3 linked regions of the Macaca mulatta genome follow. The protein of the gene in region 2 binds, or shares a complex with, the protein of the main gene of each other region. Links are inferred from orthologs where the notes say so. Each region holds a gene or a part of one and is shown on either strand. Other genes may lie near its edges.

What was found.
Region 1: NSMCE4A (region 2) and NSMCE3 share a complex: the UniProt entries of both Homo sapiens proteins name them as parts of the SMC5-SMC6 complex. The link is inferred for Macaca mulatta from reciprocal best matches to the Homo sapiens genes NSMCE4A and NSMCE3.
Region 3: NSMCE4A (region 2) and NSMCE2 share a complex: the UniProt entries of both Homo sapiens proteins name them as parts of the SMC5-SMC6 complex. The link is inferred for Macaca mulatta from reciprocal best matches to the Homo sapiens genes NSMCE4A and NSMCE2.

Annotation. Positions count from the first base shown.
Region 1 is NC_133412.1:9,161,222-9,164,845, reverse strand, and holds NSMCE3 (non-structural maintenance of chromosomes element 3 homolog), read right to left. Parts: upstream 2,248-3,624; 5' UTR 2,154-2,247; coding exon 1,254-2,153; 3' UTR 646-1,253; downstream 1-645. UniProt on the Homo sapiens protein: Component of the SMC5-SMC6 complex, a complex involved in repair of DNA double-strand breaks by homologous recombination. The complex may promote sister chromatid homologous recombination by recruiting the SMC1-SMC3 cohesin complex to double-strand breaks.
Region 2 is NC_133414.1:134,048,833-134,052,481, forward strand, and holds part of NSMCE4A (non-structural maintenance of chromosomes element 4 homolog A), read right to left. Parts: intron 2,563-3,649; coding exon 2,411-2,562; intron 140-2,410; coding exon 40-139; intron 1-39. UniProt on the Homo sapiens protein: Component of the SMC5-SMC6 complex, a complex involved in DNA double-strand breaks by homologous recombination. The complex may promote sister chromatid homologous recombination by recruiting the SMC1-SMC3 cohesin complex to double-strand breaks.
Region 3 is NC_133413.1:135,525,483-135,529,894, reverse strand, and holds the start of NSMCE2 (E3 SUMO-protein ligase NSE2), read right to left. Parts: upstream 2,946-4,412; 5' UTR 2,908-2,945; exon of another isoform or gene 2,850-2,907; intron 1-2,849. UniProt on the Homo sapiens protein: E3 SUMO-protein ligase component of the SMC5-SMC6 complex, a complex involved in DNA double-strand break repair by homologous recombination. Is not be required for the stability of the complex.

The DNA.
Region 1 (3,624 bases), on a different chromosome or scaffold from region 2:
TTTCCCTATACCTAACTCCCTATGAGGTTGATCTTATGTCCTGCTCTCACTGTTCTATGTGGGCTATACTCACCATACACTTTATACTTATTTCCCCATACAATAGAGTCAGACTAGTGGAATATACCTTTTGAACCAGTAATTGCTCTCCTAGGAATCATTTGGAAAACAAGATAAAGAAAAGTTGTATTTAAAAAGTGGCAGCTCCAGACCGAGAATAAAAAATAAAAACATTAAAGAATAACAAGCAAATTCCTCCACATCAGGGACTAAACCCATTTTACAGGTCAAGAAACATCTGCATACAAACTAAGGAACCTACGTAAATTCCTATACTAGTGACGGTGGGGCCAGGATCTGAACCCAGGCAGTCTGATTCCCAAGCAGGCATGGTTAATGGTTACGCTATTGTTTTATAAGCCTTTTTGGTATCCACAGTAGAAATATATTTTACCTCATGATCCTGTACACACACACACAAAAGTAAAACAACTTCTACAAAACAACATTGACCTCAATATGTTGCAAAAACTTTAAGACGCTGATTTCGTCATGAAATTGTCTCATGGCCCACGATTTAAAACACACACAATGCTTCAGTGCTTCAAAAATACAGTATTTATTGTAATAACTAGAGTAGCATGTAAAAAAAACTAAGTGGAACTGCATGTTTAGCAACACAGCTGAGTAATTATGAATATAAACAATTGCTATTTGGAGAAAATACACCACGTTCATTGCTTGGAACCATGAATAATACTTACATATGTAGGAAATATAGAAAAAATAAAATAGGTTAAGGTAATAAGGATATAGGCAATTACGTTTTTATTTTTAATTTTATAAAGACTTTTATTTTTCCTTACAAACTGGGATGCTTAAGAGACCCGATAATAGCTACTTTTTTATTTTCTTGGCACCAAAGCAACTTACTTATGTGTTCCTTCTGGCATATCTGTTTCAGATCATAGTCAAGTTTTCCAATTCGTTTTACTAAGCTAGGAAAATTTTTTATACCAAAAAAAGTAAAATCAAAGCAAAACAAATGCTCTTTTGTTTATAGATGAAAATCTGGAACCAAATAACACAACATTAAAAGAACAAAACTTTGCAAACACATCCTAAAGCTACACACATTGAAACGCTACAGAAATACGCTTCCTGGGTTCGTTCTCCCTTCCCCCGCTCCTCTGCACTGTGCCTTTGGGTCTCAGACCCTTGTCCCGGGGGTCCCTCTGAATCCACCTCAGATTTCAAGAGGATGGGGCTGAGCCACTGGGCTGAGGTCTGGCCCTGTTCTCCTCATCTGCCAACGCCTCACAGTACTGCGCTGGCCAGTCCTTGGGGTCTTGATTATGGACTTTGGCCACAAACTTAAGAACTTTCATCTTGCTGGTTTCCAGGTTGGTTCGCGGGCCCCACTGGAACTCGTAGTCCACGGGGTCGGTGTGGGGTATCCGCCGGTATTCCAGGTAACGTTGTCGCACAAAGTCCTCGGTAATGAGTTTCTTTGGATCTCCGAAAATGAAATGCTTCTTGGTGGGGTAGACCCCTAAGCGCCGCAGAAAGTCCCAGACTTCAGTCTCCTTGACGGTGTTGCCCTTCATAAAGATGAGCCCCAGGACGATCATCAGGAGGCCCGTAGTGGGCGTGCCTTGGTCACCCCTCACCTCGGCATCCTCCTCCACCGGCTCCAGGGTGTTGATGAGGATATAAGTGTTGCTCTTGGGTTCAAGTTCCACCAGCTTATAACCGAAGACGTACTGGAGGCGCTCGGCGGCCCGTTTGAGGAGGTCGGGGAAGATGTCCTTGTAGTCCCCGATGACGTGCTTCAGTATGTCGGCCCGCTTGATCGGAATCTTCTTCTGGTCCTTAATCAGTAAGAACTGCACCAGCTCGGACACTTTCAGCTCCTGCTGCTTCTGGGTCCTGGGGCCCACGGCGGGGGAGGCCTGGGACCGGCGGGCGCCCTGCGACCCCTGCGAGCCGCCCGGCCCCCGGGAAGTGCTCGGGGCCTCCTCTGCGAAGCCGTCTCTGCGGGCCCGGGCGTGTTCGCCCGCCCGCGAGGCCCCGGAGTTTCCGCCACGGCTCCAGTCGCTGTCCCTCTCGGCCTGGCCGCCAGAGCGACCCCGGTTCCTCGGTTTTTGCAACATGTCACCGGCGACGCGTACCGGTGCACACTCCGGCAAGCAAGCAGCCGCGGCTGGGATCGTGGGTCGGCGACCCGCTAAGGCCGCTGCCTGGGCGGGGCCCCAGAAGGGGCGCGCAGTGTCGGCTGAGACTGCGTGCCGCGTCATGAAGCCTGCGCCTTGCGTCACGGCGGCTGGGCGGTGCGCCTGCGCGGCTGCGGGGCTGGGGGTACCAAAAGCATCAGATATTTCTGTGCAGCCCTGCAGGTCTGGTCGGTGAATTTCAGTATATCGAAGTGTTGTTCTTACTAAACCATGCAAGCAGAGAACGAGAACCGAAACTCCTAAACAAGTGTGTCGCTAAATTCAGGACCAGACAGGCTCAGGCAAGTTTTACAGACGGTATTATGAGTTTCTAATTCTAAATCGGGAGCATTTGTAAATGAAAAGATCTCACAGGATGAATGTGTGAGAAAGAAAAAAAAAAGGTGAAGAGGAAGGTACGACCGTGGAAGTAAAAGCATTTATTTCTACACAACATGTAGAAGGATATAAAAAACCCAGAGGGCTCTTAGTTTTCGTCCCTCCGCTCAATTTTATACCCTCCAACCCACTGCCCCCAGTTACTTTCTCTAATGCCCCGTGGAGTTTGTTAAAAACAAAAGTCTGCTGCAGGCTTTCCGCGCAAGCAGGACTTCGGTTTCACTATTTCCGTATGTGTATTCTCTGCATTAAACTCCTTTAGCTAGACAACTATGAGAAAACCCCACAAAACTTGTCAATATTAAGTAAATGTTTTAGCTTGGTCAAATGAGTTTATCCTTTGGAAAACAACTGTCTTCGGCTCACAGCCACAATTTTAGCAGAAATGCGTAAGAGGAATGCTGCAAACGTGCACTCTCAAGAGATTACCACTTAATTTTGGGCATCACTGATCAAGAATTGCAATAATGTGGATCTCTTAAATTTCTTAATTCATAATATATTAGCTTTGAGAAAGAAAAGAGAACACAAGGGTATTTATCCCTCATCTATGATGTGTGCAGTCTATGTATATTTTAATTGTGCAACTCAAGTAGCCAAAATGAGTCATTTCATTAACTCAAACCATCAGCAATCTGCTGCCATTACTTCTATAGATCTTAGCAAATTTGTTTCTTCTCTATTTATTGACTTGCAAAGAAGAAACTGAATTTCCCTGTGTCTTTTTAAAGCTACCCAGAAAGTGGATAAACTCTTCAAAGAACCAAATCGAGTTCCTCTTTAATGCAAATATATTCAAAGGAAAGCAATTTAGAACACATTATCTGAATAATAGCATCAAACACAACCTTATTAAAATTTTGTTAAATGTTAGTAGCATAACACATTTGTTTGTAATTCAGTAGGAAAATGCAATCTGATAATGGCACTGGAACTGCTATAGTAAATGTAAAATCATATTCCATGAACTAATGCAAGTATGCTAAAATCTGATACGCAGTGAGTAATAACT
Region 2 (3,649 bases):
TTTTAGGTGTTTTTTAAAAAGCAACATTTTAAAACAAACCTGGGCAGGCATTGCCCTCTCCTCTTGTATCATAGGAACTTTTCTTGGACGGTCGACTCGTGGCTTTGGCACAGGGCACTCTCCGTATATGGAACCCAACCTGATGAAAAATATGCTTTCATGTATTTTTTTGCCTGTTGTTTGTTAAACAAACTAATTTTACTAAAAGCAGTTTGCATGATATAGTCAAATTCAGACCAGACATTAGTGATATACAAGCTGACATCAGACTAAGACTCTTAGTAAGGTTTGTGACAGCCTTTCTGCCTTCTTTGTATTTCTAAAGTAACTCCTAGGAGCTTTACTCAACCACTGATACCTCCTCAGACACCTTCATACTGCCCTGTACAGCAGGCCAGTGAATGTGCCTGTGACCTCTTCCCACCACCCAACCTATTATCTGTTTTGCAAAGCCAACTTCTAAAAGAGCAGGGGAAGGATGAGTAGGCATGTGGGGAAGCTCCAGTGGGGTCAGAAGCCTTTGATCTGGGGAGGCCAAGGCAGAGGCTCCCAGCCCAGGACTACGAACACATCTGTCTTAGAGTAACAGGGCAAGTCACAGCCATGGGACTCCTTTTCCTTCTGGATTCTGCCCTCATGCAGACTTGGGCTGCAGTAATAGATGTAAGTCTGCATCATGTAGAGATCAAAGCCCCAAGAATAAGGCTCATGTGGTCCCTACACTTGAGGAGACGGAAGTATACGATGTAGATGGACAGCTACGTTATACACACAGATCCATTTCAGCATCACATGGTGGGTTACTCTGGGCACACTCCTGCTCCACAAGGAGCAGTATCAAAAAATAAATTAATCAAATTTAAAAAAAGTAACATGGTAGATCCTGGGTGCTTAGAGAGTACTGCTCAAGTGCTGTGAGAACACCTGGGCAGAGATATCTACCCAGACATGGGAGTGGCGTGGTTGGGAAATCTGATCCTACACTGCTAACACCTCTGTCTGGAGAAGTTGCTGGAGGCTTCCAAGATGGGGCCCTGCTGGATAAACAAACTTTACCGAATGGGAAAGATGAAAAGGAATTGGAGGCCAAGAGAACAGCAAGTACAAAGACACAGTTTTAAGTACTTCATTGTGGCTGGAAATTGGGCTGGATGATGAGATAAAGTTTAAGGCTTTATCTTTATAACCTCGGATATATGAGTTTAGTACGATAGCAAAAAACAAAGATTTAGACTTTATCGTAAGATAAAGAAGTTTCGTCGGTATCCTATTAAATAGAACATACACAAATGGCTCTGGGCACCTGAGTTACCTGAAGTCTTACTAAAAATAGATGCCAGATCCCACACCACACTACTACATTAGCATCTCCAAGGCCTTCTACCCGAGCCATTACCAATCTCAAAGGTTTTTAAAAAGACAAATTAGAAAAGACAAATGCCCAGGAGCTATACCACTTAAAGGAGGACTGAACAACTCAGATGGCTACCCCTAGAGAAAGTATCTACTGGGCAACAAAACCAATATACTTGAAGGTCCTCTAGAGAAGAGCCAGTAAGAGCTGTTCTTAGTTTCTCCATAGGACCATGCCAGGAAGTTAAGACAGAAGCCAACTTCATTCGAATATGAAGAAATCTTTTTTTAAAATCAGAGTTCCATCTAAAAAATGAACGGGGCAGTTTATGTGGCAGTGACAAGTAATCTTCAAATACAAGTCAGTGGTCATCCAACAGGGTATTATAATAAATGTCATTTTAGACATTAGGAGACCCTAAGATACCCTCAGTAGGAGGTATCATCCTCCTATATGGTAAGGATTTTAAAGATGATAAACCCAGAGCCTCATGAGCTAGAAGCAAAGGAGCCAGGAGAGAGCACTGGTAAAGAGGTTCTGGCCTTTTCTGCTAAAGCAGAATGAGAGATCCTTTAAGGTTCCACCCACATCTAGAGTTTATGGACTTTTCTTTTTTTTGAGATAGGGTCTCACTCTGTCACCCAGGCCAGAGTGCAGTGGCACCATCTCAGCTCACTGCAATCTCTGCCTCCCAGGCTCAAGAGATCCTCCCACCTCGGCCTCCCAAATAGCCAGGACCACAGGCATGGGCCACCACAGCGGGCTAATTTTTTGTATTTTTGGTAGAGATGGGTTCTCGCCATGTTGCCCAGGCTGATCTTGAATTCCTGAGCTCAGATGATCTACCTGTATTCACCTCCCAAAGTGCTGGGATTAAAGGCGTGAGCCACCACGCCCGGAGTAGTGTTTATGAACTTTTATATCAAAGTTTCAAGTCTCCAAACAACGGCATCATGACTGTCACCTCTACAATACCAAATAATCTTTATCCCTACAACAAAAAACAATTTAAGGTTCACAAATAGCTGGTCTGTTGGATTTTTAAAATAATCTTACAGAAAGTGGAATGTATGGGTTTTATTAAAGGTGTTTTCTGCTGTTTTGCCTGATATTTTCCAGGAGTCATAGACGATGAATTCAAAATCAGGACTATCTTCATCACGGATAAGTTCTTCAGCTTCTAGCGGATTTACACCCATATGTGTGAGCTACAAAAATGAAGGAAAACAAAAAACCCAGTTAAGCCACACGCAATCATTGTCCACATCCAATAATCTGCATCACTCAACCTTTAAGAGGCCAGACGCAAAGCCTGCTTTCAGTGTCTTAATATGTTGGCTAAATTTCTTATTGTAAAGATAACTTTACAGTTAAAGTCCTCTTTTCAAAGCTACCTTCTTTTTGGCAGAAAATATTCCTCAATGTACTTAAAACCTTTGGGTGAGAAAGTGAAATGATTTAGACTAGTGGTTCTCAACCTGGGTATACTTACCCACAGGGGCTTTTGGCAATACCTGGAGATATTTTTGGGTGTCACAACTGATATGCTGCTGGCATCTACTGGGTAGAGGCCACGGAGGCTGCTGAATATCATACAATGCACAGTACCGGCCCCCAAAACAAAGACATGCCCAGCTCCAAATGTCAATCAATAGTGTCAGTGCTGAGAAACCCTACTCTAGCCCACTGGCAGGCAGAGTGATTTAGGTACGCCGGAACTCAGCCCCCTGGGAATTTCTGTATCGCCAATAGTTCATGTATTAGTAAAGCTGCACTAGCATACAAATATAAAATTAAATCCCAAATCAAAAGCTTCACGACAGCACCAGCAAGTTCAGCTGGTGTTCAGATTTTAATTTTTTGCAAACGTCCTACAAATCTCTATTCAGCTTGTATCGCGGTATATCCAGAGAGCAGTGGCCCGGCATTACTGAGAGAATGGCTCATCTTAAAATTCCCTTCCTGGGAAGAGTAGACGGAAGTCAAATAATTCTCTCATCTCAAACTGTCTTACAGAAAATGTGTTATATTGAATTTACTTTTATGAAAGTCCATTTTTATTACATTATACTGTAAAATGCCTAGAAGTTATCCAGTTATGATGGCAACATCATATATAAACAATAATCACAAGACCCTTGGGGAGCTTAACCCTATTAAAGGCAACCAGACTTTAAAGAAAGACTACAAGAGCCTGCTCTTCTCTGTTCCCTTGCCGCCCGTCCTACCACGGCACCCTTGTAGGTGGATGTGGCAGTTTTGGTCTGTTTAACTGACAGAGAGATCCACCAATCT
Region 3 (4,412 bases), on a different chromosome or scaffold from region 2:
GACACATAAAGAGAGAAGCCATCTACAAGCCAAGAAGAAAGTCCTCACCAGAATTCAACCATGCTGGCAACCTCACCTTGAACTTCTGGCCTCCAGAATTTCTGTTGTTTAAGCCACCCAGTCTATGGTATTTTGTTATGGTAGCTTGAACAAAGACACAATATCTATGAAGATTAATGCAATCCAGTATAAATGGAAAGTATATACCAAACAGTAGTTGTCACTACTTGGTTGAATGCAAAACTCACATTACTTGAGTGAAACTTCACTCTTGCAGAGGACCAAGGAAAACATGACCATGCTTTTCTGTAATTCTGGAGTAGGGAAAAGATTAAGACAGACTGAATTGAAAAGCAAAGACAATGGATGGTGCAGAAAGATGGAATAGATATACTTTTCTCAATTCCTCCCAATAAATACAGCTAAGTACAAGTCAAAGACAACTCCTTTCTCTGACTCTAACAGCACCCTCTTTGATATAATTATAGCCTTTGGCAGTAACTCTACTTTGTTAGTGACTATCTTGCAAGATGTTCGCAGTGCTTCATAAACAGCAAGTGCTCTGAAACTATCAATAAATGAATAAACTGCTTCGGTCAGATGCACAGCTCTCGTGTTTCCTTCTCCCCTTCATACTCAATATTCTTGAACTCACCTCCAGACTTTGTCCAGGCTGGGCGCGGTGGCTCATGCCTATAATCCCAGCACTTTGAAAGGGCAAGGCAGGAAGACTGCTTGAGGCCAGGAGCTCAAGACTAGCCTGGGCAACACAGCGAGACCCCATCTCAAAAAAAAAAAAACAAACAACACAGACATGGTGGCTTGCACTTATTGTCCTAGCCCCTTGGGAGGCTGAGGTGGGAGGACCCCTTGGGTCCAGGAGTCCAAGGCTGCAGTAAGCTATGATCATGCTACTGCACTCTAGCCTGGGCAATAAGAGTGAGACGCTGTCTCCAAAAAGGAAGAAAGGACTTTGTTCATCCTGCTCCCACCGTGAGAAAACCATCTCTTCAGTTTTCTTTCTTTTTATTTATTTATTTTTTGAGACAGAGTTTCGCTCTGTCGTCCAAGCTGGAGTGCAGTGGCATGATCTCGGCTCACCTCAACCTCTGCTTCCTGGGTTCAAGGGATTCTCCTGCCTCAGCCTCCTGAGTAGCCGGGATTACAGGTGTGCGCCAGAACACACTGGTTATTTTATTTATTTATTTATTTATTTATTTATTGTATTTTTAGTAGAGACAGGGTTTCGCTATGTTGACCAGGTTAGTCTCAAAACACCCCACCTCAAGTGATCCGCCCTCCTTGGCCTCCCAAAGTGCTGGGATTACAGGTGTGAGCCACCGCACCAGGCTCTTTCTTCAGTTTTCTATCTGCCCACATCTTACCCATATGCTAAAGTCTGAATGTTTGTGTCACCCAAAATTTATATGTTGAAATCCTAACTCCTAAGGTGATGGTATGAGGAGGTAGGGCCTTTTGGGAGGCGATTAGGCCCACTTTCATGAATAAAATTAGTGCCCTTTTAGAAGATGCTCCAGAGAGCTGCTTTGCCATTCCACCGTGTGAGGACACAGCAAAAAGCCACCTATGAACCAGGAAACAGGCCCTTGCCAGACACTAAATCTGCTGGCACCCTGACCTTGGACTTTCCAGCCTCCAGAACTGTGAGAAATAAATTTCCGTTGTTCGTAAACTACCTAGTTTATGGCATTTTGTTATAGAAGCCCACACTGACTAAGACACCATCTCTCATGGCTTGGTTTAAGTGGTTCTCAACCAAGAAAGATTTTACCCCTCTCCCAAGGGACATGTAGCAATATCTGTAGACATTATGGTTGGCATCTAGTGGGCAGAGGCCAGGGATACTCTCAAACGTCCTACAATACACAGGACAGCCCTCACCCCCACCCCACAGGAAAAAATTATCTGGCCTAAAATGTCAATAGCGCATCAGTTGAGAATAACTGATTTAAATCAATCTCTCTTGGATCCCTTCCCATGTAATAACACTGATCTTTTCTTCCCAATACCTATGATCTCCAAGAAAGTTTAGAACAAGTTGTGCATTTCCTGAGTTTTTTCTCTGCATGTTATTTATAGACAATATGCTGACTTCCTTTAAATCCACGGGAACCTTGTACAAGTCAGCCAGAGCTGCCTCTCCTTTTTCAGCATGCAAGGATATACCCTTCTCTCTGAATCCTTCTCATACAATTGCTTGTTCCCTCCCTCATGCTACCATTATTCCTATCACATGCACATGTACACAACACACTCCCATTATGAAACTCATCACAACTATTTGCTCACATGTCTGCAGCTTCTTTACACTGAAAGCTCCTTAAACTAGAACCCTGACATATTCTATTGCATATAAAGCAGTTCTTCACACAAAATAGGGGACCAATAAAGATTTGGCGAGTTACAAAAATAACAACAGACATCATCATTTCTCGGTCACCTACAGAATGCCATAAACTGGTGTCCTGGCACTTCATTCTCCTTATCGCTAATTCTCACTGCAATCTACATAAGTGAAGAGGAAACTGAGGTCCAGAGAGTTTATTCAAACGACCTTCCCGTGGCCTTACTTTTAAAGTCAGTTCAAACCACATCTATTTGGATCAAAAATTCGTGATCTTGCCCTTACACACTTGTGGCTAACGGATGGAGAGATGGCGCCTCGGACAGGAGGGTAAACTGTCCCAGACTCACTACTGTGGCGTGAAAAGGGCCACAACCATAATCCAGGTCGACGAATTCCCGGCTCGGGGTCCCCGTGGAGTGTCCCTGAGGGAGGCGACAATTCCCGCCACCTTCCCCATTGCCGTCCCCCGCTTCTTCCCTACCTGGTTGTCCGAGTTGTCTCCGTCTGGTGGCACCCCAACTTCCCCTACTTGTACCCACCTCCTTTCCTCAGCCCCCTTCGCCTGTAGCTGAAAAGTGAGCGGGGGCTCTTGCGTCATCATCCGTCGCCGGCGAGTGGTCACATGATGCCCCTCCCTGCTCACCGCCGCTTCGGTCATGTGACCGTCCTGGAAGTCAGGGGCGGAAGCCGGGCTCTGACCCGTTCCAGGTCCGGGACTGGGGATAGAAGAGGACCGCCGCCGTGAGGGAGGGGTGGAACCTGGGTGCCGACTCCGCGCGCAACCTCCTGCCCTGCGCGTGCGCCGCTGGCGCGGCCCGGCTGACAGGTGAGTGGGGATGGGATGAGCGCACCCCATTTTTGCATGGCCCCCTTCACCTCCCCGCTGGGCCGCGCTGGCCCTGGGGAGGTCTCCAGCGTCGCGTGCAGCCTGGACGGGGGACTCGGGATGGAGGGCTTAGGGGCTTTCTGGGGCGGGGGCTGCAGTCCAGCTCTTCGTCTCCGCTTAGGGGGAAAACATTTTGCACACTCCTTCCTCGCTTTAGGAAGCACCGTTCAGCTGGCTGCTTGGTCCGAATCTCATCCTTCCAAGTTTCCGGGAACACTGCTGTGTGGATGTCGTCGTTATTTCTCTCTTTGCTTTTGAGAAAACTGAAAGGCTAGTAGTGAGGACTTTTACAGCCTGACGGACCTGGATTTGCATTCTAGTTATGCCATGGGCTGTGAGTTTGGGCAAGTCATTGCTGCTCGCTGCGTCTTAATGCCTTCACCTGTGCTAATGCCAAAATCCTTTGCATTTTGCGTGGGGGGGAAATGTTCCCAAGGCCCTGATTCCTCTATGATCGGACAGGAAAAAGAAAAAAAGTCACAGAGTCGTAGAACTGGGTCTCCTGATTGCAAGCGCATGGAGCTCCCTCAAACATAGGTGAAGGGTAGTGAGGGAGAAGTTTTCCTGTCTTTGTGCACAACAAGGGACACCTTCTCTAATTGTCCTTCACCTGCCTTTCCCAGGATTTCAGGTTCAGCCTCATGTCAGAACTTTTCTGGAAAACATATGCAGCTTGCATTTATTCTGACCGACAACCATTATATTTTGTTTGTGATAATGGATTTGTGGAGATCAGTGCTTCCTTTATGGAACTGAGGTTTTGCGAAAGGCTAAATATAGACCTACCTTCTTTTGTCCTCTGAAGGGGGTAAACAGTGTTTGTCCACGACAATTCGATTTCCTTAAGAAATATTATTCTGCACTCTGGGTAATTGGTATAATGATGCCATGCCTCATTCTTGACAGCATGTCTTTTGATTAGGATTACTTCCCAAACTGAAAATCACAGTTCCACGCCAAATTCTTAAAAATGAAGTTACTGGCGCTTGTAAAAGAAAATAAGAGAATATAGTGGGATCTCTGGATTTCATGCCGATAGTAATACAGCCTGTATTGAGAGAGCTGATCTTCAAGTTTTCTTAATCCCTAGCACGAAGAGAACCTCTGAAAGGATAATTTACCATAGCTTCTTCTACAGAGTTTAATTGGACCTAATTC